Linked DNA regions of Oreochromis niloticus. The main gene of each other region encodes a partner of the protein of the gene in region 3 in a complex. Links are inferred from orthologs where the notes say so. Each region holds a gene or a part of one and is shown on either strand. Other genes may lie near its edges.

Region 1 (8,347 bases), on a different chromosome or scaffold from region 3:
ATAAAATGTAAATAAAAATACAAACAAATTCTCCTTTTGTGTTGTTGCTGAAGAGAAGCCGGATTTCTGCGTTGTCGATGCGGTGGCGGGTTCCTCTAGAAAATTCGTCTCGCAGCGTTGAGGGGAGCTCGGGTGAGTGTGGACGTGGCGGGTGTTTGTTGAACTCTACTTGCTAATGACCATGTTGGATTTTTTTATTATTATTATTTTTTCCTTTAAATCAGTCCTCCAGCCCCTCCACCTGCGACATAGAAAAACGGTCAGAGGTGAAGAATCAGGAAGTGGTTCAGCAGGATGGCGCGGGGGAAACGCATCAATCGTCATCGTCGGTTTTCTGCTTCTTGGTTTCGACGTCGTCCTGAAAGAAGACAAGAAGAAGACGGTGGCGGGTTAGACCGGCGCCTGCTGGGTGTCATGGCACCGCTCGTTTTAAGGGCGTCTTAGGCGCTGCTGCCTCACCTCATCGTCGTCCTCGTCATCCTCAGCTGCCCGTTTTGTGCCACCCTCAATCTCGTCTTCATCCTCCTCCTCATCTTCCTCATCACCTACAGGACAAAAGTTGAAAGGTGAAAATTTTTAGACTCTAACAGGAGTTTATTATTTTTTAAAAGGCAAATAAGCCTTCAAGCTACCTTCTCCATCATCTTCCTCTTCTTCCTCGTCCACCTCCTCGTCCTCCTCGTCATCTACCTCGGGCTCACCGTTCTCCTCATTCTCCTGGAAAACACAAAAATGGTTAAAAATGTCCACCTCTGTGCACAGAGTTGCTGCTGTGGCGGCGGTGATGGCACTCACCTTTCCGTTGGTGGCGGCGTCTTTGCCGTTCTCCTTCTCCTCCACCAGCTTCTTCTCTTTCAGGTCCTGAAAACAAATAAAAGCAAACATCAGAAACTGAACCTGCTCATCTGCCCACCGAAACGCGCTGCTGGGTTTAGACTCCGCCCACCGCTGCTACCTGCCCCTCTACCTACTGGCCTACTTAGCAGCGTCCCAGTGCTTGCTGGGAGCTGCACGTTTTTCAGCCTTCCTATTTAAACACCATATTGGCCTCTGCAGATCCTCCCCCCATCTCCTTCCTCTCCTCCCACTCCATCCCCTCTAATGTGTTGTAATCTGATACTTTGATGTGGCCCGCGGGGCATTCTGGGTATTGTAGTCTTCTATGGGCCGCTGTCGCTGCCATATGTCACGAGACACGCCCGGGAGAAGCACTGCAATACCCAGGATGCACCCCGTTTAAAATAACACAGGAGGGCGCAGGAGCAGGGAGGGAGCAGGAGGAGGGGTCGATGATGGAGGAGGAGGAGGCGGCGGAGAGAGCGCGATGCACGCTGCTGCTGCTGCTCGTTGTAACGGAGGCAGGAAAGGACAATAGAAGACGACACATGGCAAGCGAGCGAAGCGAAGACACGGCACCTTCCGCCTCCGTGCTCGAGCTCAGCGCGCACTAACGCCGCTCCTCTTCCTCGTTTTGTTCCCCCACAGCCCATTATCCCCGCCGCACGCGCGCCTCACGCATCCACACGTAGGCTGTTATTGATTAATTGCTCTCCATAATCTTATTGGTTGAAATCCATTAAGCTGTTAAGCGGCAGGAGGAGAGCAGGCTGCCCGCGCGCTGCGCGTAAAAACGCGCTTGTGCGTAAAAACGCTCCACAACTAAAAATAGTGAACAGGCTCCCCGGATTACCCGCGCTAATGCCTGTCCAACTTTTCCCCTCTCCACCCCCTCCACCTTTACCACCTCCTCCAAATGGACATTTCTTATAATCGCTCAGAATTATTGAGAATTATTCTCGGGATGATCGCGGTCCGCGGAGCCACGACTCCCCCCGCGGGGGCGATTAAACTTTTACCCGATCTGATCCAAAGTCCACGCGCACAAAAACTCGCGTTTTCACAACAAAAGCAGCTCAAACGTGTAAACGGAGGAAAACCCGCAGAAAGAGGGGAAAACCAGCAGCGTCACATCACACCTCCACAGCCCGGCCACGCGCGCGCACGCGAGCACACACACACACACACACACACACACACAGGGAGAAAGAAGTGTCTGCATTACAAAAAAAAGAAAGAAAAGTTTCCCGTGAGACCGAAGCGCGCCCTGCAAACAAACCCCGAAAACACCAAAGCAAAGCGGAAGCCCCGGGCTCATAGCCGCTCACGCGCTCCGGGAGCGGAGACCGGAGCAGCTCAGGCTGGAGCAGCGGCGGCCGCCGACCTTCCGGAGTCGGTAAACAAACGGGGTCGGACGGTGCAGGCAGGCCGGTGGCTTTAACAAACGGGCTCACGGAAATAAGAAATAAAAAAGGCGGGAGGAAAAGTGCAGAACCGAAAGTTCACCGGAGGACTGCGCACCGCCTGACGCGCTGTCCTCCATTCAAACGGAGCAAACCCCAGGCTGGAGGTCCGCGTCCACGCATCCACCGGCCGCTGAGTGTGTCACCGCTCCCGGTAATGCGACCCGACCGAGTCCCTGCACCGGGAGCGGAACCTCCCCTCGATCTAATCCGCGTTAAGAGCCCGAGATGCGGGATAAATATGCGCGGCGCCCCGGCGCTCACAACGAGTCCGAAAACCCCGCGGGGAGCGAGCCGGGGGACCGGAGCTGCTCGGTGTCCGGGTCTCGCTTGGAGGTGTGCGTGCCGGCAGGAGAACAGAGCTGCTCGCAGAAACAAAGACCCGCGCAGACCAGGACTCTCCGGACAATGAGCCGCGGCGCTTTAACGCTGCCCGTGTCCGTGATGCGGTGCCGAGACCCCCCACTTCCCTCTACACACCGAGTTCAGGGGCAAAGAGGCGAACACCGGCTTTTCTTCTCCTCCTCCTCCTCCTCAGACTCCACAAAGTCCGAGCGAGCGCGAAGCAACGACGGAGAGGTTTTAAATGTAGGTTAGAGCCTGGAGAGCTTTATTCTTGTAAGGGGCTCCGCGGAGACACGGCCCCGCGAATGGAGGTGTGCGGCAGCTTACCTTGGCAGAGATATCCGAGCCGGAGTCGACCTGTGTGTCTGCCATTGTTTAGTAGAATAAAATAAAGGACGGCTGAAATGAAAGGTTGAATAAAGTAAATCCCCTCGTCTCAGTTAGCGGATCAATCAGTATTATATTGTGCCAGTGGCCAACGCTTCTGACGGCCGAGCCTTTAATATAGGCTTGTGGGCGGGGTCTTCATGAGGTCGGTGGTCTCTGATTGGCCAGGGGCTCGACAGAGGCGTTCTCCTAGCGCGTCGAGTAACAATGGATAGAATTTCTTAACCTAAAGGCCACGCCCCCTCCTATTCTACCGCTGCAACCGTCCCTTTCTCCCCTAAAACAATAATCCGAGTCGATAAAAGCCCACAAAACGGACCGGAGCCGGAACCGTGGCAGCTCCACAGCACCGTGAGCGCGAGAAAATCGAGTTTCCATCGAGTTACGCAGTAAATATGTCGAATCGAGAGCGCTTCGGTTGACGTAGTGTCAGTTTGATTGATTGATGTGCGTCTGGACGAGTCAAGCGGCGACTTCAGACGGTTTCTCCCGCCCACCGCCGCGACGGGGGAATAGAGGCGAAGTGTTTGGGAGGGAAACGTGGACGACACGGATGTTATCACGGATTAAATCGGGCTTTTCTACGCAAACGTTAGTGTCACATCTCAGGCTCCATGTGAACAACATCAGTCAGATAAAAGGCGCTAACAGTGTAAATGTGGAGCGGCGCCGCCATGTCACATCGCAGCTCTTCGTCGCCCCGCCCCTTCCCGACGTCCATGTTTGAAACTCATCCCTGTATGTGCGCACTTGACACTCTTGAGGGCTTTTTTTTTTTTTTTACATAACAGCCCATAAATTCGTGCGCCAAGGTCGAGACACAAATAAACACTGTACCCGTCGAACAACACACACACAGCCGGCTCTGACGCCGTGAGTCGGGCTGTTCGGGCTCAGTGAGCGGGTGCAGTGAACAGTGCTGGTGGCCTCATTTCCTCCGCCTCCATTGTTAGAACCCACAGAGAAATGCCCCGCCGTGGAGGAGGGAAAAAAGCAGTGCGACATAAAAGACATGCGATGAGACAAGTGCGGAAAATAATTATAATGTGCTCATGAACTGACGCGCATTCTTATGAAACACAAGGGCAAACACGTATTTTCCTTACCGACTTTTGTACACATGGCTTTTACAAGCTGAACTGAGAAGGACAAAGCGGCACGCAAAAAGGCAGCCGCTATTGCTCAGTGGAGATGGGGGATGGGAGCAGAGTGTGCTCCGATAACAGGCAGCCCACATTCACATTCTACTTTGATGACGCACTTGCCCGCAGAGGACGGCTCTGATTGGTCGGTTAAGTGGAATAAACACAGCTTTGGCGCACGGCAGGCGCTGATTGGTTATCGCCAACGTCCGTCAATTCAAAACTAGGCTCAGTCGGCTGACGGTAAAGAGCGGGCCCGGATGCTGGATCCGGACTGTGCTTCCATCAGTGTAGAGTTTCAGTTCTGTCTTTGACATGTTTGATTTCCCAGTTGTTGCCTTTTAGTTTTAGCGCCACGATCTCTGAGAGACACACTCATTATGCTTAATTGTTTGGAAAAGCCGGGCTCTTCATATTTCATTAGGCTGTATTATAAAATATTTAAACAGGTATCAGAGAGAGCAGATGGAGGCGGTGATCCTTCAACAGAACCAAACTCTGTCTCCCTGCTGCATCCATCTAACCACGTTTTGAGTGTGTGGAAAAAATGAATTTACTGACACGCACCCGCAGCGTGTCCACCTGTTTATGTGGTGATTTTGAATTTGTGTATTAAAGCTGCTGTGCCCAACTTTTATACTGTGCATTACAGTCATATACTGAATAAAGATGATGGATGTAGCTAATGTGATGAGCCATCCCTTACTGAATCGTCCAGAAGCGTCTTGGTGTTGAAACCGGACGAGAAACTCGATACTGCCAGGAGTTGTAAGTCACATGCACAATCGTACCCTGAGTCATTGTCATTTTTGACTCTAGCAGAGATTGTTATTTAAAAAGGAACATTATATGGTATTGATTGCGACTATAGACCCATCAGGAAAGTCTTTAATGAGGTCATGGATTGGGGGAGCCAAAGGTCAATGTCTCATAGGCTCCTATACAACTAAACCAGCCAGAGGAGTCGCCCCCTGCTGGCCATTGTGTAAGAAAAAGGTACTTTTCAGAACTTAAGAAGCTATGTCCGAATTTTAACCTTGCAGGTAAATCTCTGTATTTTCGGGCTTAGGCTGCGTTAAATCTGGTTTCCATGGTAACGCCAGATGTAAAACACAACAGCAAAGTAAAGAAGCTCCCAAGAAAAGTTCCTGATGATTCTGAAGACACAAATCTTTCACAGGAACTATTACAGTCTAAAACAAGTGAAAAAAATCATCCTATGTGTCGAATCGAGAGCGCTGTGTGACCTCAGTAAACGCTATCATCAACAGTTTGTGGTCTCACTCGTGTGTTTTAAGTCTAATCAAATTCCATCAGTTCCCAGAAGCACAGTAAAGCTGGGTGTGATCGACAAGTCGCTAGCCTATAAGCATCCTGTATCCCTCTAACATGACATCTTCTTTCAGTAAGATAAGATGATGATGGTCAATGGGCTCAGCTTCAGCCTTTACAAACTAACAGGTGACATCACAATGGCTACGTCCATCATTTATTCATCATGTGACCATCGGCTATGTTAGAACAGAAACTAGCAGAGATGGTGTATTTCCATCAGGTTTGAACTTCTTTTAAAGAGGTCCTCTTTTTCTTAAAACATGAACTACACCCCAATGAAAAAATGACTATTAAAATCATAAAACCAGACGCAGTTTCCCAAAAAGAAATGTAAATGTAGAGTTAACAAATCACAAAAATGCATGTGGCTTGTAGATGTGCATTACTGCCTGCATCACGGCTCACCATAACCAAACTGCAGACAAGACTGATGATGTCATCTAAACATCTGTGTTTCTGGTGTGTTTGACACATTGGAAACCCAAAGAAGGCCTAAATGGTTTCTTAAAATAAACAAAGTAAGACAATTAATTAATTATAAGCAGAAAAGAGTAACAGAGTTGGCCAGTCGGGTTCAGTACTGATTTGGTGCACCAGAACCTGACTGTCGGTCCATCTCCGAGTACCAAAACAAATCTATGAGCCAAGGTTGGATTAACGGCTGTGCAGAGCAGTCAGCTTCCTCTGGCCTCCAAAGCTCTGAGTTTGCGGCGTGTCAATTGGTTGTAGATAATTTGATTAACCGCAGATTTGTCGAGGAATTTGAACCACAGAACATCAGTATCAGCTGAGACAGGTACTTAATGCTGAGGATCTGTTCTGGAGAAGCAAAAGAAAGACTGCTGTTAGTTTAGTTTTATTCAGTGATAAATAACACACTTTGGTTCTCAGGTTGGTCGGACCATGCTGGGTGTCAGCTGGTCCTCCTTTGCCATTACACAGCTGAGCATGCCGCCGCTCAGAGCTCACAGTTGGTAAGGTTCAGGGATTTATTTAATCAGTAGATGCCAGAATAGCTCCATGCTAACACTGGAGTTTAATGTACATTTTAGATTTCAGAAATAAAAACTACACGAAGCACATGCAGTCTCACTTTATTCACTGAAGCAGCCGCTGCTACATGATTATCGTCACCCTGCAGCAGCGAGTGCAGTCACATAAACTGGTCACTGATGCAAATCAGCTGCGGACGCAGACAATAACTCTGTTCACGGACAGCTGCGTCTTCTGATACACTCCCAGTGTGTGTGGTGGGAAACCGCTTCAGGCTGTAACAATTATCATATGAAAAATGTCCAGTTATACATTTAAAAACATTTGAGACGTGACTTTAAATTTAAAAGCAGAGACAGGAACTTTAGTGTGCAGATCATCTTCATTCACATAAAACCAGGACAAACAGATTCAGGGATAGCTTCTTTCCCAGAGCTGTCGCCGTAGTAAATAAGCACAAAAACAATTGAAACTGCTTAGCTACACGATACTGTCACCGTCATTTATTATGCTGCTATCCATACTGTCATTATTATTAATGCTGCTATCCTGTATATATCGTACTTACTAGTGTTTGTTTTATTGTACCTTTTATATTTTACATTTATATTTATTATTGTATTTTTGCACCAAGGGAGTGGCACTCCAATTTCGTTGTACCCTGTACAATGACAATAAAGGCTATTCTATTCTATTCTATTCTATTCTATTCTATTCTATTCTATTCTATTCTATTCTATTCTATTCTATCTTTATTGAGCTCTAAAAAGAAAACAATCCAGTTATTGCTACAGTATTAAACTGCGGGTCATACCAACTGGGAATATGTCGACTTATTTAAATGTTATATAGAATTTATGTGAACATTTCTTTTATATTGGGGATATTTTCATATTACTAACATAAAATAATCTTGTTTCCATGAAGTTATCGAGTCCCAGAACCTGGAGTTCCTTTAACGGCCACTCGAGGCTCCAGCAGTGAGTCCGTCCCCATAGTTAAAATATCCAAATGTGCAGCTGGAATAAACATGTTTACAGCCTGGTACAAAAACTGTTTTGGTCTCTATAGAAAATGTAAACTTTTAAAACAACTGTATGGAGTTTATTTTTTATATAACTCTGTGTTAAGACTTAAAGCTAAATGTAGCATATTTAGCTGCTTTGGTTAATGGAACTACATTTAAGGGGTGTCCAAATTCATAGGCTGCATCCTCCTGAGGACCTGGCCTCCACGGTCTGCGTGGGCTGGGTCCTCCGAGGGCCGGGTAGGCCGGAAGTGAACATCTGTGAAATTGGACGGTCTAGCCTTCAGTTTTGCGTCACCAGCTGTCTCGGTCTTCATCTTGATAAACCGAGCAGATATTTGAAGTTTGCACAGCTACATTCTCGCCTGAAAATATCTTAAAAGCTTATTTTGTGACCCAGAAAGATTAATAAGAGTAATATTAAAACTCAGTAGCTTCCGCTATTGTTGGAAACTGGAATTGGCTGGGCCGCGCTATGAATGCTGGGATATGGTGGGCCACGAAGGATACACCCGACCCATCCTTCAAATTCGGGGATAGGACGCATCGGAGGAGTCTTCAAATTTGGACAGCGTTCGGCTCATCGCTGTGACCTAATCGGTCAGGAGGATGCAGCCCATGAATTTGGACACACCCCTAGTCTCTCTGATGCTTCAGATGACGTTACTCTACAAGCTACAGTTACCTTCTTCAGACACACTCTATGATGTGGATTTTCACTGTTTATTTAACTTCATGTAGAATCATCAGCTAACATAACCAGTAAGTGTTTGTAGTGTGAGAGCTGAACAGGCAAGTGTCAGCTGACTTGGAGAATA
Region 2 (7,507 bases), on a different chromosome or scaffold from region 3:
CACAAGGCGGGGACGAGTCAGAACTGTTGGACAAATCGGCGTGAAGACCCAACCCACAGCAGCCATCAGCAGGTGAGGAAGAAGAGGAAGCAGAGGAGGAAGAGGAGGAGGGAAGCGGGCAAAGGGGAAGGTGGCAGTGGCCCGTTTCAGAGTTCGAGGCCGCCTCCCCCCCACCTCCATTCTCCAGCCCTCCATCAGGAGCAGCGAAGGCACAGCGCGGCTGCTTACAAGGGGTGCACCTTTGCACCTCTGAGCACTTCCTCTTACACACCTGCAATCGGACACACACACACACACACACACACACACAGAGGTCACTTGGTATCAGATTTTCAGGCAGATTTAGTTACAATTACAGACAGAAATTTATGAGAACAACACCCCTGAGTTTGGATCCTCAATAAGAACAAAATAAAAGAAGGACTAGAAAGAATACAGCTTTGACTTAAGAGATATTTAAGGACAAAGAAAAGTCAAAGTTTACCTTTCTAACTGCATAATATCATTTTTTAAGCAAGTTTAAAGCACCTATAAACATTTCTCATGTGTAATCTGTAGCTTATAGCCCTGTTACTAAAAACGTTGAGGCACTGTTAAATGTAAATAAATATCCAATACAGTTATTTGAAACTTATTAAAAGCCTATATTAATTAGGAATTAATGCTCCGAACCGGATGCCTACCATCTCTGTGTAATCGCTGGTGCAGCCAGGCACAGGCACAGGTATGGGCACAGTCACAGACACACCAGCGGTACGGAAGAGGGCCGGTGGTGGAATTAGTTTGGCAGGAACAGCTGACAAAAGGCTCCTCCCCTGGCCCTCCCAGATAGCAAGTTCCCTCGGTGACAACAAGAACTTGGAGCAATCCTCCGGAGATGCGAGAGTTGCGTATCGCTCCGCAAGCTTCGTGGCAGCTGCCGCTCCGATGCCGACTCCGCCAACACCTGGGACGCTGATTCCCGTGATGCTGTTGTGTCGACACCCGTTGGCCTCGAAGTGGTCGCTCTCGTCGTCGAAACCACCGCTGTTGCCGTGGACGATAAAGCAGAGCATGCAGGGCCCGTGCAGAAAACAGTTCCTCTTCTTCTTCTTCCTGTGATGCAACTTGCGTGTCCTCTTCTTCAGGCGATAACCATTTTTCGAAAAAAGATGGCCCATATAGATGATTCAAGGAAACTCTGGAACAACAGAAAAAAATGATTGGAAATATATATATTATATGTTTCAGCACTAACAGGAGGCCGAGCTGAAGGTGACAGAGTGGAAGATGCTCAGATTTTCATTGGCAGTGACCAGGATGAACAAGATTACAAATCAGCATATCAGAAGGTCAGCTCAAGGCAAGCAGTTTGGAGGCAAAGTTAGAGAAGCAAGGCTGAGATGGTTTGGACATGTGCAGCACAGGGTTAGTGGATATAATGGACAAAAGATGTTAAATATGGAGCTGCCAGGCAGGAGGAAAAGAGAAAGACCTCAGAGGAGGTTGATGGGTGTCGTGAACAAGGCTGTTGTGAGAGCGAAGGATGCTAGTTTATTATGATATGAAAATTCTATGAAAGTTGAGTGTTAAGACTTGGCGTCAAAAAATACACAATGCAGAAAAAAACTATTCAATGAAAAAAGAACTTGATAGTTTCCATCCTCAGTACTACGAATTTATTGTAGTCATTACATAAAAATAGCTTAGGCTAATTATTTAGCCCCTGTATAATTAAGAGAACAAAAGATATCCTTTCTTTTCCTTAAAATGACTATTCAAAACATTGCTGTACATATAATACTTTTAATACAATTTTATGAGTAAAGATGTATCTCATCAATTTACAGAAAATGTCTTTTTGCTAACAATGTTTTGCCCCGCATAAATAAAATAATATGGGAAAATTGCAGGATCACTAACAGCTATCATTATCATTATCTCCTTTTTTAATGAGGCTTTTTTCGTGCTTTATTAAGCCTGTCATTTTATTAGCTTCTTTAATGTTCCTCTTTTCCCTAAAGGCAAAGTCAACATGAACCTTTAGTAGGAAAATCTAATGCCCATCCTTCAAAGCTGCAATGTTTTCAAGGCTGTTTTTCATAGCTGCAGTGAAAGAATGCTTAACAAAAGATGGGAACTTTACAAGATAACGCTAGAGTTGTCTGACACACACACGGGGTGGAGAGTGAGATTAACTTAATCTGGAAGTAAGGATGCATTTGTGATCATGGTGGGCTCGTGTAAATAACAGCACGTGAGCACAGATTTCCACACAAAAAGAAAAGAAAAATCTGAGCCTGATCCTGTATGTCAACAACAATCAGGACAGTCCTTTCTGCTGACACAGACATGACGATGGACAAGACTCACAGCAACCACATGTGTCATTAAACTCAGCACCGGAGAGCCCAACAACACAGTACTGCAATGAAATACTGATGTTATTTGTTAAAAACACTCACAATTTAAGAGTAAAGCCTAAATCTCAGCGCAGCACACAACAAAGAGCAGCAAGCTTTGCACCCGTGCTTCCCTACGATGGAAAAGATTCAGACGTGGACGCTGTGCATAATTTGAAAAATGTTTTGGGGGTTTGGGGTTGTTTCTGTTTTGTTTGGTTTTTAATGATCCATATTTGTTGAGGACGTGAAAAATCTCGTCGGATAACTGCAGCGGTGCAGCACCGGTTGGTGGCTGCTGAATCAAAACACAGAGATGTAAACAGTGAACAGGTGGTCATTTGTTTAGCATGTAGAAACGCCAAAGCAGACTTAACGTGACACCTGCGGTTTGCCTGGAATTGCCGCACATTTGTCTTCAACATTCACACGAACTTAACGTTGTTTTTGAGGGAAAGAAAGACGAGATTGCTTCGCAGTTTTCTGTCAGGCTAGCCTGCTCCATCCCCAGATGCTAAGTTAGCTATAGCCCCAAAAGCAATCATCTCTCACCACTTCACACGGTGCTCCCACACTCCGCACTGCGCTCGCATAATACTGCTAAGCTCCACGGTCAAGATGAACGGTGACGAGCCCCGACAGGAGAGACGCGGGCGCAGGAAAACCGGCCACTAAATCGCCGTTCTGCTCTTCCAAAACAGTAGCAGCTCTGGTTGTACCTCTGCTGCTGCTGCTGTTGCTCTTGAGGACAGCACTTCCGCACCGAGAGGGCAGCGGGAAGGAAGCCGACGAGGGCGATTCGTAATTCGCCATCAATGAAAATCCTGTTCCCAGGATTTGGGGGATAGAGAAGAACCAATCATGGGATTGATTTTTTGTTGTTGTTGTTGTTGTTTAATGATAAGTAAATACAGCCTTGAAAACTGACTTAGAAAACACAGGGTCAAAATATTAAGCTATTGTCTCCTAATGGGAATCATTTTGTATCGTGTTTAGATTATTTATTTAAACAAAAGTAGCAAACTTTTAATTTATTAACCATAGGAAAACTGGACAACCGCCCCAAAATAAGCTACTGACAGTGGTTGCTACAGAAAACACTACCTACCTTATAAATTTCTAGTCTTAACACCTTTACTCTTGCAGTTAATTTATTTACTGGTCTTCCTCTTCCCTGACAGCTACACATTTAGCACCTTTTGTCCACTACCGCTCCTCTTCAAATGTCCAAACCACCTCAGCCTTGCCTGTCTAAATCATCAAGCACTGGATATGAGCAGTCCCTCTGGTGCACTAATTTCTAATCCTGTCCATTCTGGTCACTCCCAAAAAATAATCAGATTTTATTCGTGAACATAATAGTTGATATTGTAAATGAAGTAGCTCCACCTGTAGGTTTGGTTGTACTGAAGCTGCCAAGTGTCTACACACGCTGCATATTATGCGAATTCAAAGAATGCATCCAACATAAAACAAGCATAAAATATAGACATACTGCCAAAATAAATCAAAGTTAATCAGAAGTTCATTTCATTTATTTAAATATTCATGTAACTCATTGTTTATATTCCAAACGTTTCATGCATTAAACACATCAAGTAGACCACCAAGCACTATTAGACTAAAGTATGAAATGTAAAACTTAAAAGTCACAAATAGGATAAAATCTACAGTTGTATGTAACTTAACTGGGTTTTCTGCAGCAACTACAGTATACTGCAGCCAACTTGGTCTTGCGCGGAGCTCAGAAAAAAAAAAACACTTTGGGGAGAGAGAATCAGGGCATAAAATTATAATTTATAAACATAACACAGAATGAGAGACTGTTAACGACAATATACATAGCACATGTAATTGTCTACAGTACCGAACTGTACAGTACGTCTACTGCATAAAATTAATATATATATAGAGAGAGAGAGAGAGAGAGATAATAATCTGGATGTACAGTTCAAACTGTCCTTCATTGTAAATTCCCATGGCAATGTTGTTCACTGAAATATGAGCTGAAATATATATAAATAAATGTTGCTAACTGTTATTGTGAAGTCACAGCGTGCGCACTGACGCACTGACGCACCGGTCAGTTTCTGTTTGTATTGCCTTGTTTATACACTAAATCCGGAGAGTAAGATAATATTAACCATTGGTTAAACATTGCAATGTTTAACCAATGGTTAACCAATGGTTAAACATTGCAATGTTTAACCAATGAATATGTGTTGGCCGTCTGTCTTCGTTCTCCTAGAGAGAGAGCGAGAGAGAGAGAGAGGGAGCATATGGGCGTGAATTTTCCAGGCACCAGCTCCTCCAGGCTGAATGGCAACTCCCAAAATAGCAGCACTGCGAATTCTGGATCCTCTGAGGAAAAAAAATGGCTGAAGTAGTTTCACCAATAACTCGACAAGTAACTAAAGGAAGCCAGGAAAATGTGACCTGTTTTGTGGATATTAATCTCAGAGACGTCGAAGACTGTTTAATTTACGACCGGCATGGAGTTTCTATTCCGTTCAAGACCCTATACCAAGACAGGAAATCGGTCATAATTTTTGTGCGGGTAGGGAAAACTTCATTTGGCTTAACTTTGCTGATGAGTTATGGGTTCGCATAAGCACCCTCCCTTAAGTTGCGCTTTTAAATGGGTCTTGATAGGCTTCAAAGTAGGTACCAGGTGAGCCCAGGTGTAGCTGGCCAGATGCTCCAAGAATTTCCTGTGCTATGTTGGAAATGGACGAATGAAGAGATCGTTCTCCATAGGTGAAGCCAGAGGGATACATGTTATATAGGCGCAAGATGTGAATTTTTAAATGCAGTGATCTCTCTCTCATCACTACAGCCTTTTAACATTTTATTTAATATGTGTCCCTGCAGAATTTCTTGTGCTACAGCTGTAAAGAGTATGTTGATGATTTGGGAAAAATACCCAGAGAAGTACTGGAGGTAAGTCTTGTTTAGTAAGGACCAGTGCACTCGAGGCTGTGAAAACAAAGAGCATAGCTGCGACACTGGCAGCAAAGGTGCTCGGTTAAAACAATAGGAGGTCTGATGAGTATTAACATAAATAATTGATCATGACAAATCCAAAATTCCGTGTGTGTTGTTGCAGGATGCTGAAATTAGACTGGTCGTGATCGGTCAGTCTGCTTATCATCACATAGAGGTAATTATTTTGTTATATATACACTCACTGGACACTTTGTTAGGACACCTGTTCAGCTGCTTGTTAAAGCAAATACCTGATCAGCCAACCACATGGCAGCAACTCAGTGCATTTATGCATGCAGACATGGTCAAAACAACTCGCTGAAGTTTTGAAGAAAGGTGATTTAATTGAGTCTGGTTTTGACATGTGGGCGCTCTATTGGAATTTTGCCACAGTGCTATCTCTAAGGTTTACAGAGAATGGTTGAAAAAAAAGGGGAAAATATCCAGTGAGCACCAGTTGTCTGTGTGAAAAGTAAGAGGAGAATGTCCAGACTGCTTCGAGCTGATAAGAAGGCACGAGTAACTGAAATAACCACTTGTTAGAACCAAAATATGCAAAAGACCACACCTAGAGCCACTCCTGTCAGCTAAGTACAGGAAACTGAGGCTGCAGTTTGCACAGGCTCACCAAAATTGGACAATAGAGGTCTGGAAAAATGCATTCTGGTCTCATGAGTCTCCAGTTCTGCTTCAACATTCAGATGATAGGATCTGAAGTAAAAAAAGAATGAAAGCGTGGATTGATTCTGAACTGTTCAGGCTGCTGGTGGTATAATGGTGGAGGGCATATTTTCTTGGTACACCTTGGGCCACTTGGAACCAATTGAGTGTGATTTAAACTCCACAACCTTCCCGAGTATTGATCCCGACCACGTCCATCCCTTTCTGACTACAGTATTTGCATCTTCTGATGGCTATTTCCAGCAGGATAACACATCAAATCATCAATAATCAAAACTAGTTCAAGGAAGAGAAAGAATTCACTATTCACTATATAAGAATTTCCACTACTACAATCCAGTAGAACGTCTTTGGCATAATGGATGTGCAGCCATCAAAGCTGCACCAACTGTGTGATGCTATCAGTTCAATATGAACCAAAATCTCTGTTGAATGTATGCCACAAAGAATTAAGGTCTAACTCAGTACTTGCGAGTGGTACCTATTACAGTGTCTGATGAGTGTATATAAATATCACAGCAGGCACTATAGTTTTCCAGACAAATGTACTCTTTCTCCTTGTTCTGTCATGTAGTCGTTCTGCTTGCTCACGGGGTATCCTTATGAAATATATGTGGACCCAGGGAGGCGCATTTACCAAAAGCTGGGGATGAAGAGAGAGGAGACATTCACAGACTCTGGTATGCAAAAACACTATTGGAGTGTATGAGTAAGCTTATTTTGAGATGATAATGAAACTTCGTCTTTGTATCTGTGTTTGTGAACTCAGCGCAGCCTAGTCCCCATGTGAAGTCTGGCATTTTTATGGGCCAAATCAAGACTATATGGAGAGCCATGACTAGTCCTGCATTTGATTTTCAGGGTGACCTACATCAACAAGGTGGAGCCATCATTGCAGGACCTGGTAAGTTGGTCTCGCTCTCTCTCTCTCTCCCTATACACACACACACACACACACACACACACACACACATATATATGTATATATATATATATGATGTTATGTGTTAATGTTGGCACTGCATTATATCTTTTTTCCTCACACTCACTGTTTTCTCCCTCTCTACAGGCTCTAAAGTTCATTTTTCCCATCTTGACATGAACCGCCTGGACCACATGCCCATTAACTGGCTCCTTCAGCTTGCAGGAGCTCAGCAAACGATTGACTTCAGCCATAAGCCGAAAATCATTCACATCTAGTTAGGTGCCTGCCTGAAAGTGTGTTTCATCCCACGTCACTGCTGTAATCACACATGGAGTCTATATACAATCAGCTCCAAACTCTAAGATGACTAAATGAGTTTCTGTTGCTTCTTTTTTTCATTTGAATTCAACTTGATTGACAAATAGTACATTACAATGACTTTATCAGCTTAACACACCCCTCTCTGCTCTTCCCTCAACTGTCTTGGCTTTAATAACATCACTCAAACTGAAAGTGCACGCGGCAAGTTTGTGCA
Region 3 (7,369 bases):
TAAAAACAAATACCATCTTCTGCTTTTATGAATCTCAAACTCTAGTTCTCTCTATCAGTTGCTACTACTGATGCACGGATGCAGTTTTTGTTTTGTTTTTTTACCCCAGTTCTGATACAACACAATTACCTCAACTCAACATACAATAAGGTATGCGTTGGTACTGGGTACCAATCCAGGAATGGTGTTTATTTAATACGCTGTATTTGAGCAACGAGAAATAGCCGGGAAATCATTCATTTATCAGGCTTGACTTAAACATTGCTTTACTAATTCTGTGTGCAATCCAAGACAATTTAAAAAACAAAGGAAGTACTACATGGCTGTAAGGGCTTATCTAACAGGTGCTCTTCAGTAGGGCAGATGCAAACTCAGTATCAAAGAAGGATCACTGAAGCAGTCCAGCTTCCCTGATGAAGACAGAGTCGATTTACAGTCCCATCTTTCACAGTCATGATAGTTTCTCCTTATCTGGCATGTCTTCACACACAGGTAGTGTGCACAGCTGATAAAAGACAGGGTGAAGTGAATATTGATTGAGTTAGCGTTAAAACTCCAAACACGCAAAGAAAAACTGTTGGTGAGGAACTCAAGTGCCTGCAATCCTACTTATTACTTTCACTACTTTTAAAAGTAAAAAATGTCCACCTAGAGAGCCTAACAATATAAGCAAAACAGCAAGTAACTAAGTGTGTAAGCAGCAGCAAGGGAGTGCTGCTCATTTTGAAGGACAACGCTGTGACTTAAATTAGGCTTTAATTTAACAGGCCAGCATGACTAAGTGTGCTCTTGCTATGCCCTGTTGCCAATCCACTGGGGGCTTGAACAGAGGGAACAGTTTGTTCAACCAACAGCAGAATCCAAGTACATCCATTGCAGCATCTTCCAGACATGTTTAAACCAAATTAGGCTAAGAAACAAAACAATCTTTTAATCAGAGTCAAGAGGTACTTTTATCGGAGTAATCCAGGAGGAGGAGAGGGCTCTGGCTCTGCAGACTGGCTTACAAACAAATACTTCTACAGGGAATATGTGGGATCAGAGCCACTACGTTGAACCCATTAAGTTGAAAATTTAATGCCTTCCTTTTCATTCGAATCCCACTTCTTCTTTTCAGAATATGAACTGCCTGCAACAGTGACGTACAATACAAGAAACATGTGGTTAATGTCCGTTTGGAGCGCTCTGATCAGGAAGGGTCTGAATTACTCAGCAACAATGCTGCTGTGAGGGTTCAGTTATATAACAAAGCACCTGTAAGTTGTGTATACACACCCACACGCACACTGATCGTTATGTGAAGCATTGATAAAAGGACGCAAAGCAAAAGGCCAGTTTATATGGCCTTGTAGCTTTCCAATCTGCAAGTAGGTTACAGTGTTCTTTGCAATCATTAAAGATTAAGGGGAAAAAAAAAACAAAAAACAAACTAAGTTTGAGTGTTATTCATTTTACCAACAGATGGGGACACGTCAGTGGCCATGATGGAACTCGTCATGAGGAAGTCAGCCAGTTAAGCTCGCTGTAACATGAAACACTCTGCGATTCACATTTACTGCTGTGCCTCCCCCCTTCCAGGATTCTGGGTGAAATAGTTTCACAGGAGAACATATTGCTCAACTCGCCCACTTTCCACAGCAGACAGAAACGACTCACTGACAAACAAGCTCTCCAAGTCCCACGCTCTACCTGCTGCATTTCTCTGACATTTCATCAATAATAAAAACATGTTTTTAGGTATGATGAATGCGACAGGTATAACTGGGTCCAAGCCACTCTAAAGATAGTATCTGTTGTTGAATCAATCAATGGATGAATCAGCTGACAAACACTGCATGTATTGTGATAGCATTTATTAAGACATTTTATAACCTACGCATGTGGGAGATCCTGAAATTTTACATGCCATAAGTCAACGACTCCTAGCAAACATCTGCAGGGTTTTCCTCCTCTAGCATGAGAAAACTTGTTCATTACAGGTTGTAGAAGTGAAATTAAACTGTCACTCAACGGTGACACTAAACAAGGAAGTTTCAAGGAGTTGGCAGCAGTAAATCCTTACAAAAGGACGAGCTCAAAAAGGAAACTGAAAATATGCAGTATGCATCTTTAAAAGATGAACGTGAACGATAAACCAGCGATTTATGCTGATGCTGCTAAAAAAAAATCTTCCACTGCGACCCTAATCTTGACAAGAAAGTTGGCTCATCAATAGCCACAGTCATAAAGATGCACACTCACCCCTGACAGAGACCCTGCACGTCGGTTTGCGTGCCACCCTTCAGGCCTACCTACAGGTCTTGGGTGTCTTACAACAACTGGAGGGACTCTACAAGTTTAACAGTTTGATCTGAGCTACACCTACAGCTGTGTCAGCGATTTTTATTTTGTTTTGTACTACAGAGCCAGCAAACGCCATCGAGACAGGAGTGAAACAAACACAAGTACAGAGTCCAGCGCGTTTCTCGGGCATTTTGGCAACCAGCTTTCCTCGGTGACTCATCGTGAACTCTTCACCGAGCAAACAGTGGAACTGGATGTACCAAAACATGACCCAGAAGTGAAGCCAGTCCCTTACATAAACCATGATGGACTTGGATTTCCGCGCCATTTACCTGACATGAAGAGCACACAAAAAGCCATCGTGTGTCCTCTACGAGGACCATTTCTGAGCTTGCGTTTGTCAAAAAAATAAATAAATAATCCACAGACCTGGCATGCAAAGGTAGAACAGAGCAAGCAAAATCGGCTGCTAAAGGTTTCTGGTGGGTTTGCAAAGACGGTGAACTCAGAAGGTCTCACGATGAAAGAGCCGTAATCCCCCTCAAAACAACAAGTCAAACGTTTCGGAAACAGAGCTGACAGCAAAATAGGCTCCTAATAATAGACAGCAGAGTAACGGCTGTGAGCCGACCTCGCAACAAACGTGCTAACAAAGCGGTATCAAAATATATTCTTGCTAACACACCCGCACAAAATCTAAACATGTCCAAACAACTGACATTAATCACTAATGGCTCCTTAAATTTGGAATAACAGAGAATTACCGTAGTCTAGAACAATTCCTCCATCGCGGTCTGCCGAGCTGCGAACCACACAGAAAGGAGGAGAAAGCTGTAACTCAGCGTGACTAAGCATTGTACCGGCCTCATCTCGCCTTCACAATAAGAGCTCGCCACTAAAGCGTTGGCCCGCCTCTGTTTATTACTAATGGCAGACAAACGTGTCCCGTGGGAGGGGGCTTTTATTGAGAAGGAATTCTTAAAACGAAGGAAAAGCTGGGCCAATTTTTGGCAGGGAGCCAAAAACTGCAGCTTTAACGTCAATCAAAATTTGACACAAATACCATATAAAGGATAAAACTGCAAAACAGGTACTTCTTCTAGCAACTTAAAATGGGATCTAATTATGAGAAAATAACTGCAATAATGCAGTAACACTGCTTTAAAACTGTGTGAGTAATTGTTGAAACGCCAGCAGGAAATTACTAAACTGGCATTGTTTAACGATCACTATGTTGCTCAGACATAATGGTGTGTGCTCTAGAGACATGGTTATAATGTTACTGCAGTTCTGCCTTAAAACATGAATGACTCCTACATAGCACAGGAGCTTGGGAGGAATCTGTTTGCAGTGCTGACACACCACTAAGGGGGTTTTCCCCCTCCTTCTTCCAAAACACGTAATTCAGGTCACAGAATTTGATGTTCTGCTTAAAAGCCAAAAGGTGGCACCAAAAGCTAACTGTGAGACTGCAAGCGTAAACACTCACTTTTGAGTTTAATCCCGTGGAATGAGCTGCCATAATATAACCAAGACATTTAAGCCCTGTTGCTCTGCAACCACAGTTCACAGCCCATTACACCAAGCACCCCATGATAAGATTCCATCTATACACCTTAAAGTTGAAAGGACTGGCAAATCCTAGATATGAAATGACAAGTCATGATGCATACACCACTTAGAGTTCCCCCAAGACTCTGCTGTGTGTCTGTGTAAAGATCCAATCAGAGGAAAAGGCTGAAGTAAGCCTTGAGGCACCAAACTGCTCTTCTAGATGGATGCTTCCTATACACTGATCGTACAAAGGTAGGTTAAGACTGCACCCACATTTGTACTACCAGTTCCTCAGCTCTGTCATTTCCCAAATTCTGCTAGAGCAAGGAAAAGTACAGTTTTTTTATTTGTGGCTGTGGCATCAAGGGACTATCAATGGTCATAACTTGTAACAGTTGAGTTCATTATAGCAGAACAGAAGCCAGAGTACAGGAAAGATTCTCTGACTTGTCGACCTCTGCCAGGAGGCACAGTTCTCATGGATAAAGCAAACATCTGGAGGACCACCTGCACTGTACAAATCATATAAGAGGTATTCTAGCACCATGAGGCAGGGCTTATGTCTCTAGGCCACAGAAAGTAAAAATCACAGGAAAATATCTGCTATCTATCACACTAAGCATGCTTTGCGTTGTTGACATTTTTTTAACAGTGGCCTGACAAAAAAAACATGTGAAAAATAAGTGAAGAACTTAACAGCTTCTTTTAGCTTCATGCAAATCAACCAACAGTCTTTACCAGAATTGAATGTTAGCATTAAAAATCATGTCTTCATAACTGTAACTTTGGCAGTATTATAAGACAAATTTAGACATAAATGCAGGCACTGAATACAGTTTTCTTTCTATAGGAGCTAAATTAGCTGGATTCATAACAGCTGTGTAATTTTTCTTTATTTTAACTATAGTTGATGTGGAGGGCCAGTTCACAGGAAAAACAAATCAAACAAAACAAAACCTTGGTGTTCAGTGTTTATTAAAAGTTACATTGGGTACACTATTACACTTGGTGTGCTGGGCATTATTGACAGTTTATTTCTAACAGTGGTGTGACATTTAAAAAAAACCCTGAAAACCACTTACCAACTTCTTCTATTTATAAGTCACTGGTCATGACTTCTAACTTTTAACAGTTGAGTCTGCTGCAGCAAAAAGCAAGGTGGAGCACAGGACAGCTCTGCCAAATGCCGGGAAGAGGGGGTTATGGTTGACTACAGAATGCCTTTAGGGCAAAGACAGTTAAAATCACACGGAAAAATCTGCTGTCTGTCACACTAGACGTGCTTTGCATTATTGACATTTTTTTAACGGTGGCCTGACAAAACAAAAATCAACAAGAACTGAAAAGCAGCTTCTTTTTGTTTTCTGCAAATCAACCAATATATTGTAGCTTAACTGGATACATAACAGCTGTGTAATTTCTCTAAATTTTAACTATGACTGGCATTGTGGAGGCCGGATCAGTGTGAGGTGATAGTAACTTGTAACCACTGGTTAAGAAGTATTTACTAAAAGAGGCATTGTGTGGAGGTTAAGCCACTCAGAAACAGGCAAAAGTTGATGTATATAGGTCAATGCCATTACCAGATGTGAGATGAGGGAGGCTGACTTCCTGTGATACTTCTTTGCTTAACCACAGCTACACTAACACAATAATACACACTGATGCACTTAAGAATGCTGCAGGGCACTAACAGTGAAAATAAATTGAAACCCCATTGGAATGTTTTAGAGAAACACTTTATTTCTTTTATGAAAAGAAACACAAATTTTGCTAACGTTTTCTTGTTACAAAATATATATAATTTACAATAGAGATATAAAAAATATGCTCACAAATACATCAAGTTCACTACATACATTTTAGTACAAAAAAAACCACAACCTCATTTAATCAATTAAAGTCTTGAATGACGTAAGAAAAAAAATCATTCAGTACCTTTAACTGAAATGTTCTGTTAACTTGATGAACAATGAAAGGAAGCACTGAAACAATTGCTTGGTAAATTTATACCAGTTCAGCATGATCTGTAACTTACAAAGGCAGAAATATTTTTATCCATAAAACTTGTGATGCAGCTGAATGAACTTCTTTTTAAGGTCGTCTTCTTCACAAGCTGGAATGTAAAGCCTTGACGTGATGCAACTGCAGCTGATTTGGTTTCAGTTGGAGTTAAGCTGTCAGCCAGTGGAAAGTAAACATTACTTGTAACATTATCTTTCAGTTAATCCGATGCTAAGTATGATGACATTTTGTAAATGCAGCAGTTTTTACTGTAGATGTCAGGTTGACATTTCAAAAAAACTGGACACGACCCCAACAACTTTCCACGTCTACCGCAGATAGGTTAACCACCTGTCATTTCAAAACTGTTAGGGGGTTTTAATGCTGCACCTCCTCTCCCACATAATTTATTTGCATACAGCATTCAGCAATTTCAAGAAGGGTGCCACCTTTTTCCTGTTAACTTAATTCCTTTGCATCACGTACACAGATACGTGTAGGGTAACCAAACATCTACCCATGCAAATCTAGCACACAATCAGTCTTCGAACCAGCGAAATCCAGGTGTCTGCAGATTACACGCTGTAACTGTTAGGAGTTTTTATTCTGACTTTAAGGCACTTAAGAAACTGCAAGATGAGAAACGTTAGCCTCCATATTATTCCAGCAAGTACATAGTTTTCAGTCTTTCACTCTTTGAGTTTACAGAAGCGTCCTTCTAAGCTTCACACAAAATACAGAAGCCCAGAAAAAATTGAGTCCAAGGTTGCATATGTCAGTGCAAATTAATAAAGAAGACGTATTGCTAGCATCATATACATAAAAAACATTGCTTGTTCACATTTGAATTGCATCCTTTGCTCTCTGGTTTGGTATGCTTCATCAAAATGAAATTTGGTGATTCAGTTATATTGCCATAACTGCGCCACACTGTCAAAGATGAGTCATCGTCTTTTATACGCCCCCTTTTTATGGCTCTTTGAAAAAAACAAACAAAACAGAACTGTCTCTCAATAGTGGATGCGCTACATATCCTCTATTCAGCGGGAAACCCATTTACACATTTTGGACACAGTCAGTCAAAGTCTTTATGACTTGAAAAGTTTGGGGTATAGGGCTTTAACTGGAGATGGAGTGGTGATGACGTTTCCAGATGAAATAGTTGTCTCCAGACCCGGTTCTAACTTCTGGGAGGGCACCTCAGTTTTACTGAAACTGCACTCCAGGAACGGCATCCCAATCTTCTTCACCTGCCCATCTGAGGTCATTAGACATGGCCGACAGAGGAGCCTCAGAATGGCTCTCCTCATGTCCTTACTGGTCAGTGTGTAGATGATGGGGTTGAGGAGCGAGTTGATAATGGCTACTCCCAGGAAGTACTCAGCCTTGTAGAGCACGGGGCATCCGCGGGTGGGGCAGGAAAAATCTATCAGGAGGAGAATGAAAAGGGGCAGCCAACAGGCGATGAAGACTCCCAATACAATGGTGACTGTCTTGAGGAGAGCAATGTACTTCTCTGACTTCCTAG
Region 4 (7,708 bases), on a different chromosome or scaffold from region 3:
TTTCTGACGGTGGTTGTAGTCAAACACTTCACGCCTGGCACCAAGATCAATGTCTTGCTTCCACAGTATGTCAATCAGGTCCATGTCCTAAAAAGACAGCCGCAGATCGGTTAACAGAGTTGCAAGCAGCCATGCTGTCCTGCATAGGAGTGTTCTGAGCATCGGAGCAAAACAGAACGTCCCTGCTGCGAAGCGTGACTGTTGCACCTGCCACACCCTGTCCCTCAGTATCTGATCACCGACAACAACACAGGCACTAATGTCAAGGGACAGAAACTGCATGAATAATGGACGCATTTCTCTCCTTCCTCTGTTGTCACCACACACCAGCAAAAGACACATATCCTCATTTGATACTTTTTCCAGTGAAGGGAAGTAGTCACAGCTTATCCAGTTACGCAGAAGTGTGAATTTGTTTGTCGTATTCAGACTCGCACACAGTCAGGGATCGTTTTTTAGCTAGTACTTGAAGTTCAGATTCAAGTAAGTTCACACATATTACACCATTTAGAAAATGTGGCCATTAAATGTATGTGTTTAGGTGGTTTAAGTATACAGTATTATGGTTGGTGAAGAACATATAAACATATAAACAAAGAACAGTAAAACTGGCACTGTAATTCGTCACTTATGATTATGCGGTAAATCTATAATGGTGTTGCATTTATACCTGGGTGTATATGGCAACGGCTGTATTGATGGCAACCTATAGCTACATTTCTTTGAAGGCGCTCCGGTTACGGCAAAGGCTACAGCGTAAGGTTTCAGAAAGGTCTGCGGTTACAACCTACCTTTGTACCTAATCATATTATGAGGTCATAGATGTCATACTGAGTGAAATTAAAATGCTTATTTCCTCAATTTCACCCTCACTAGGTATTTAAGTGAACTATTACAAGTACTACTAAATTATCTGAGCACAACAATAGTCTTGTCCTACATATATTTACACATTAGGCAGAGCATGTGATGACATTTTAGTACCATTTCCTGTAGATTTCCCCTAAGCTGCTGATTGTTATTTGCCTTTTTAAACAAGAATGTCTGAAGATAAATTATGCTGGCCCCTTCTCTGGGCTTTTAGCAGAATTTATTTACAGAAGGAAAGTGTTTCACAAGGCCCAAGGATGTTACATAAACCCGCGATACTGGTTTACACAAAAAAAAACTCTGAGCATGTGACTTGTTTGTTCCTCAGATTTGGGTGTAAACATTACTTATGAGCTTGGGTTTATAATACAAAAAAAAAAGAGAGAGAGAGCCTAGAGAAAACCAAGAGGGAACTGAGGGAGAATAAAGAACAAAGCAGAACAATGTACAATAAGGAGGATGTGGAACTGTTTAGAAAAACCCTGTCAGATAATGTTTTCTTCACTTGTTTTTTTGTTTTTTTTTTAATAAAAACAGGATGAGTCACAAGCCTCTGCAAACTAATAATAATGGCATATGGGCATCTATAAATACTTTAAGCCATTGTTGACACCATTTTCCTGACTACAGCTGTGGTGCTGAAGAAAAAAAAAAGAACCCACTAACCCTCTTTGCCTCTGTGTTGCATCAGAGGTATGACCACTAAAGGATTACACATTACTAAGGCTGCTCGCTGGTTGGAAGGTGAGCACACAACTAGACATTATGGTTTGTACAGGAATGAGGAAGTCCCTTAAAATGTCTGTGTGGGATGTCTAAACTCACTTCTTGAGGTTGCTGATGTTTTCTAACAAACAAAAAAAGAAGAAAAGAAAGAAAAAAGAAAAAAACACTCTTGTCTGTTGGTCACACCTAATAAGCTCATCAGACAAGTCACACCAGTCCTTTAGAAAAAACAACCACCGCAAGGCCAAAAAACAGCCTGTTGTCAGTCAGTGATTTCAGTGTGGTTGTTAAATTAGCCTGTTGTTATAATGCAGCTTTATAAACAGCACATTCTGTATTAATGACAACTGGGCTCTGTGAGTGTGGGCGTGCTTAAGTAATGGTGTCACTATCACCTGTCAGAAGACATGGACTGGCACCAGAACAAGAGAGGAAAAAAAGGCTGAGAAAACTACTTCCTGCACCTTGATGCCAGACAACAAGTGTATACCAGTCAAAGAAGCTTTCACACACAGAGCCTTCAGAACGACAGTTACCAGAGATACATATTAAACCTAACAACAATCCTTTAGTGTTGGTTGTTCATTTACTTATTTACGGTTAAACCCCAGGGCCCGAAAGAGGGACCAGAACCTGCTGTTGTATCATGCCTTTCCTCAACACCATTCAGTGGACATCCAATCTCAACTGTGGATGATGAAACACAGCTGCACAGCCATTTGGGCCCTCATCAGTCAACTCTGTACTTCCACTGACCCTTACCTATGACAAGCTTAGCGAAACACTGAAGATCCGAGGGCATGTCACAGGAAAAAATAAAGTTCAACCAAGTTCAGTGTTTTCATTCACTGTATAAAACAGCTAGGAAAACAGGTCTAGTCTAATAGTTGGTCCTTTTTTATTAACTCTGTAAAACACGCAGCAAAGACATAGGCAGCAGTAAAAGAAATCATTCATGGTGGTTATAAAAGCTATCAGATATGGGATCACATGCTTTGAGGAGGAGGGCGGGGTGGACAGGGGGAGATGATGACACAGTTACGGCAAAAGCTTCAACAGAGTCCAGGTTCTGTTTGTCTAACTTGCCAAGATAAAAAGAACCTGTTATTTTATTTGGGCAATTGATCACAACACTAATATCTGAACCTGTTCTGTTAATGGGGACTTTTTTCCTGTCCAGGAAAAGCGTCACTAGTGGATGACTTGCAGAACTGAAAGAGAGTTAACATGTCTAACTCTAAGACAGCCTGTCGGCGTAGTCTACCTCACACTTTTAACGCTATAACGTCTGTAACACCGGCGTAAATACACTAGTACTGTAATTTAGCTGTAATTTATGATAACTGATAAATAAAAGTTTAAATAAAGTCTATCTCTCTAATAGCCCGCATTAAAAAAGGAAGTTGACAGTCAATGTCAGATAGTTTGTCTACTCTTTTCTAGCGATCACTTTTGAGAAATACTCTATTTACCTGTTGACCGGAATGCATCACCTCCATTTCCATCATTATGGAGCTCTGTCGTGAGGTTTTGAAAAAAAAAAAAAACTCCTTATGACTGAAAAATTTGTGTGTTATTCCTTAAAATTGGATATAAAAATGGCGAGCGGTCTGGAGGCGATATAGTCCGTCACGGGAGCTGAGCGGCGAGAAGTGCTGCTTCCTCCAAACCTAATGAGCATTACGGAAATGATGGCCCTCCCCACCGGGATCGTCCCCCTCGCGGTGGCCTATGAGGGCTGGCGATAAGGACTGTGTGTGCATGCGCATGGAGTCCATTTAACACAATAGTTGCCACGCAAAAAAAATTACACAATATATTTATGTGAAAGTTAAAGGTTTTATGATACTTTAACCAATACGTAAATTGCAACATGTAATACCTTCGTTTATAGTCAGCGTTATATAAGCCAGCTCATAAAAGAAATATATATAATGTGTACCTTCTATTTTAACTCCGTCACGGACATGACCAGACTTTGTTTGGTGCATACCTCCCCCTGCTGGTGACCGTGACCGGCGTGGAGCTGGAGACCCTGGGGCCCTGATGTTCCTTGTGCAGCTGGGTAGACCATCACAGAATCATAAAGAGAGAAACAGAACACCCAGTTTAAAGTTACAGTCCTGCATTTAAAGTTTTACTTTGAAGCTCAGACCTGTTCGCGGCAAAATACCAATATGTGTTAAAAGCCCCAGTGCAGAATGACCTCTGTTAGGTTTTGTTTGTTTGTTTATTTGTCTGTTTGTTTTTGGAAGGGAGGTAGGCGCATAAGAGATACTAGTTCAAATGGGTGGAACTATTACTAACATCTTTTGGGAGGAGGTTGAGGGTGTGGGAGTCAGACTCTGCCATAATTCACTGGGTGTTCTAATTGGAAAATCTTCATCTGTCAAGTAATGAATCATTACAGTGGGTTAACTAAATGTGCTACAAGCTAAATTATTCCCTGTTACACTATTTCTCATAAAATTAAACAAAACTGACGTAATGATCTAAAACGTCTAAGTAAGGAATCTCAAAGATTTGCAGATCTGTAACTCCTTTCCATTATCGATATATATGTTTGTTTTATGTAGTGGAGAAAAAAATATTAAAATTTTAACCATTATAATGCAGTAAAGGCTATTCTTCAGAACTGGTACATATATGAAGTTACTGTAGAGTGTAGAGTGTAGAAAAGTTGCTTAGGTTATATTAATATTGTTATTATTTAGCCAAAAGTTGCTAAGCTTACCGAAATACTGCACATTTCAGTACATTTTGTAAGGAAATATGCAGGTTTTTACTCGATTTACTGGGCAATTACCATATTATAGTATATATTGCAGTAGTTTTTAAGCATTTTATGCTATTTAGTACTTCTACGATAGATAGATAGATAGATAGATAGATAGATAGATAGATAGATAGATAGATAGATAGATAGATAGATAGCCACTAGTTAATCAATAGTAGTAATAGTATAATATCCTAAACCATAAGGATATTGGATCACTCTGGGTCATATTGCTGTGTTTTATAGCAGCGTTTTATTAAGGTACAGTCTAATAATTTCTTTCACCACATGTGCTGTAGATTATTAACATTAATAACAACATGAAACATTGATCCACCTTGACAAACTAGAACATTAAAATACTATTTTAACAGCAAATTATATCCATTAACAAGTTAAGAGTATGAAAGAGGACATTCTCCATAAGCACTACTTTTCATTCAGCTAAATGTTGTTGGTAATTCCTCGGACCTTTCCAAAAATTGGAATGTGGGTTATGATTTATTATTACTTTTCCACTTCCTAAGTAGGCTAAAGGATATAAATCTTCTCTCCACACTGGTGGAGAGCACAGGTATGTAATAAACGTTGTAGCAGTCGATCTGAGATTCGCCCATTTAAGAAAATTAAGAGGAGGATAACCCAAAGAAAAACCCTCATTCTTAATCACATTTGAATCATTCTGAAACCTCGGCGTTAGTAAGAATTCGAAACCGAGGTGCCATTAAGTGGCTTTTCAGATATGCCCGTGTAATAAGACAGGCTTGTTCCCGGTTGTAGCACCCATCTGTGAGGCGTCTCGCACTAAAGTGCAGCTCGCTGTGCCACTGCGTGAAATTACACTAAAAAAGCCTATTTTTGCCTCTCGTGCGCGCTCCTGAATACGCGTTCACGTTTGGCAGCTCCACGTCGACATTCTTCCAGCTGCATATAGTGAACTGCACAGCACTGGGGGAAGAAAAGGTAAAAGCGGCGGCGGCCACCTTACGATTAGAGCGCTGCAAGTCCGCCGATGGACATCAACTGCAGTGAAAACAGGCGTTTGCAATGTGAATCTATCCGTGGCGTGCAAAGTCCTCAGTTCGCTTTCATCTTTTGCGTTTTATGATCTAGACTGTTTTCCCCTCGTGTTGGATTGCAGCTGGTCCCTTGTGTCTACCTATATCAGGTACAGTATGACTTGCAAAGCTCACTTTGCCTTTAAAATCGTACTTCTTAAAGAAATAATCGTTAAGATTCCGGTTGACACGTTGCAGTGTTGATTTTGAACGTTATTTCTGCACTTCTGAAGTTGCTGTCATTTGGTTGCTGATGAAGTGCCAAGTTTCCAACTACATTCAAACTGTTAGAACTCAATACTCCTGGAGCTCAGCTGGCCTTCTGAACTTTCCTCATTGCTATCATATCACTCTTTTGTAAATGGGTTATTCTCAAGGGCCTGTTTAATTCAGAAAGTTGTTAAAGCTCAACAGGTAGTCATTTATGCCCTGTGGTACTTGAAGTGAAGTAATCCTTTCAAAAAGGTAGCAGCAAGACTGTAAAACTTAAAATATGCCAGCCAGCGTAGACTTAAAATGTAACCTTTGCAAGCAACCAGATGGGCAAGACTAAAGAGGTAAGTAAATACACTCAAGAACCATTTTTGAGGAGGGTGTACTGCAGGATCAACTTTTGCACACACCCAAATATTATTTAGGTCTTTAATCATTTCTGTATTGCTAGCAGCGTGTAAAAAGACACCACCTGGCCTGCTATATACCTGTGTGACTCTAGGGAGGAACCACCAAACAGCTCGCCTTTCTTCAGGCCCGTCCTTAACACATTTAGATCTTAGCTCTGCCTTTTTGAGCTGTTTTCTGTTATATTTTTTTAGTGGAGTCAGTATAGTGAAAATTAAAAAAAAGATAATACAACATGGCTGTCTTGTTTTCCCTTGCTTTTGTGCCTTGCTGCAGGTTGAAGGAGCACCCAGTCATGAGGAGGATAAGGTTCCACACAAGGACAAACCTATGAGGTGGCACTGTGGCTTTCCAAATAAAGTTCTGTGATACACTTAGACTCTAACTGCCCGCAGTCAGTGCATTACAGAACTTTGTTTTGGAAGTTAATACTTTAACCATTTGGAAATAAAACCTCAAACATCTGGACATTTTAGTTTACAGAATGTCTCATTGTTTCTGTTGGCAAATGTTGTCTAAAATAAAGTTTCTATTTTAATCCATTTTTTACAGTCTCTTTCCTTCAGTACTTTAATCCTGATTGAATTGTACTTCACAATAATGTTGCTTGTGGTGTATTTGCTGTCGTTTTGTGTCAAATCATTACTTTAAAAGCAGCCATGTGGACCATATGGAAGTGGTAGTCACGCTGGTCAGGTGACTGAGTGGAGGTGAAGCAGAAAGGTAAACAGTGTTGACTGTTTCAAGTTACTCTGTTTTTACAACCACATCAAAAAAAAGTGCACACATGAGCAATTTTGACCAGGTGACGATGCAGCTGTAGTAAAGGTAAATCATTACAGATGTTCTAGGATTAGTTTACATTTTTAAATTTGGATTCGTCCTACATATATCTGGCTAAAAATGAGACAATTAAAAAATTCTGATACTTAACTTACAGACTTGCTGAATTGTATGTTTCCACTGTTCACTTTCATGCATTTGTGTCAAAATGGTGTTTAATGTAGGGTATAAGTGATTCTTTATAAATCCGATAAACTCTTTAATATTCCAAACAGAAGGGTTACCGTTGTTTTATATAATTTACTAATTGCATTTACTATCTTAGGCACAGACTGTATACTGGGCTAAGCCATATAAAAGATGTCTCAGCAGTAAGTGGAACATATGCAACCAGCCCTTTACAGTCTATGCTAATGTTGCAATGCATGCTGGGAAACGCGTTAAATGGTGCATTCAAACGCTTCTCGTTAACTCCTTTCAGAATGAAATGGGAGCATTGCATTGATGTCAACGGTTCGTTTAAAGGTTGATTAATAAAATAAATACATAAAATATTGTCATTCACTTATTTATAGTATGAAACTTATGGAGATTGTAGGCACAAGTACAATCCCGATCACCTACAACCGTGAACAGTTTTCTTTTCTTGGGTCCTAAAATGCGGAAAATCCTTAATCTATGTTAATCTATGTTCCAAAAGATAAACGTCTAAACGTCTAAAACATCTTTAAAAACGCAAAATGCTTAAATTGAGAAGCTAGAACCTGTCCAAGTTTAAATATCTTCAAAATAACCTTAAATAATGCTCTGACCTATGCTTTTCTTAATCGACTTACCGTTTTCAGGTATAAACTAGCCCAGTGTCTGATAACAA

The links.
Region 1: the proteins of keap1b (region 3) and ptmab are in contact, whole or in part, in a crystal structure (PDB 2Z32), measured with the Mus musculus proteins. The link is inferred for Oreochromis niloticus from reciprocal best matches to the Homo sapiens genes KEAP1 and PTMA. Residues at the interface, in NP_001103775.1 of Mus musculus: Tyr334, Ser363, Arg380, Asn382, Arg415, Phe478, Arg483, Ser508, Gly509, Tyr525, Gln530, Ser555, Ala556, Tyr572, Gly574, Phe577, Ser602; in NP_032998.1 of Mus musculus: Gln40, Asn41, Glu42, Glu43, Asn44, Gly45, Glu46, Gln47.
Region 2: the proteins of keap1b (region 3) and fbxl17 are in contact, whole or in part, in a crystal structure (PDB 6W66), measured with the Homo sapiens proteins. The link is inferred for Oreochromis niloticus from reciprocal best matches to the Homo sapiens genes KEAP1 and FBXL17. Residues at the interface, in NP_036421.2 of Homo sapiens: His59, Thr60, Ala63, Ile66, Met67, Glu69, Leu70, Gln75, Leu76, Gln82, Lys84, Ala90, His96, Val98, Ala101, Ser102, Ser103, Ser104, Pro105, Val106, Lys108, Ala109, Met110, Thr112, Asn113, Gly114, Val122, Ser124, Glu126, Gln163; in NP_001156787.2 of Homo sapiens: Asp395, Arg397, Arg421, Lys423, Asn447, Gln473, Tyr475, Met524, Arg548, Asn572, Cys574, Leu575, Trp577, Glu596, Tyr598, Val600, Ser601, Asp623, Trp626, Lys628, Tyr647, Met651, Arg652, Val676, Leu677, Asp679, Cys680, Thr683, Leu684, Arg686.
Region 4: the proteins of keap1b (region 3) and nfe2l2a are in contact, whole or in part, in a crystal structure (PDB 3WN7), measured with the Mus musculus proteins. The link is inferred for Oreochromis niloticus from reciprocal best matches to the Homo sapiens genes KEAP1 and NFE2L2. Residues at the interface, in NP_001103775.1 of Mus musculus: Tyr334, Ser363, Gly364, Arg380, Asn382, Pro384, Asp385, Gly386, Asn387, Asn414, Arg415, Ser431, Gly433, Cys434, His436, Ile461, Phe478, Gly480, Arg483, Ser508, Gly509, Tyr525, Gln530, Ser555, Ala556, Tyr572, Phe577, Ser602, Gly603; in NP_035032.1 of Mus musculus: Leu19, Ile22, Leu23, Arg25, Gln26, Asp27, Ile28, Asp29, Leu30, Gly31, Val32, Val36, Phe37, Phe39.

The regions. Positions count from the first base shown.
Region 1 is NC_031982.2:35,431,487-35,439,833, forward strand, and holds the start of ptmab (prothymosin alpha-B), read right to left. Parts: upstream 3,137-8,347; 5' UTR 3,018-3,136; coding exon 2,973-3,017; intron 862-2,972; coding exon 796-861; intron 718-795; coding exon 633-717; intron 546-632; coding exon 460-545; intron 359-459; coding exon 314-358; 3' UTR 1-313.
Region 2 is NC_031977.2:23,971,657-23,979,163, forward strand, and holds the start of fbxl17 (F-box/LRR-repeat protein 17), read right to left. Parts: upstream 3,153-7,507; 5' UTR 2,934-3,152; intron 1,181-2,933; 5' UTR 1,161-1,180; coding exon 684-1,160; intron 272-683; coding exon 1-271. Other genes in the region: prxl2c (thioredoxin-like protein AAED1), read left to right, coding at 4,756-4,938, 5,253-5,321, 5,488-5,541, 6,622-6,727, 6,817-6,951, 7,117-7,247. UniProt on the Homo sapiens protein: Substrate-recognition component of the SCF(FBXL17) E3 ubiquitin ligase complex, a key component of a quality control pathway required to ensure functional dimerization of BTB domain-containing proteins (dimerization quality control, DQC).
Region 3 is NC_031971.2:24,647,177-24,654,545, forward strand, and holds the start of keap1b (kelch-like ECH-associated protein 1B), read right to left. Parts: upstream 3,193-7,369; 5' UTR 3,048-3,192; intron 1-3,047. Other genes in the region: s1pr5b (sphingosine 1-phosphate receptor 5b), read right to left, coding at 6,930-7,369. UniProt on the Homo sapiens protein: Substrate-specific adapter of a BCR (BTB-CUL3-RBX1) E3 ubiquitin ligase complex that regulates the response to oxidative stress by targeting NFE2L2/NRF2 for ubiquitination.
Region 4 is NC_031987.2:17,010,660-17,018,367, forward strand, and holds the start of nfe2l2a (nuclear factor erythroid 2-related factor 2a), read right to left. Parts: upstream 3,272-7,708; 5' UTR 3,105-3,271; coding exon 3,069-3,104; intron 88-3,068; coding exon 1-87.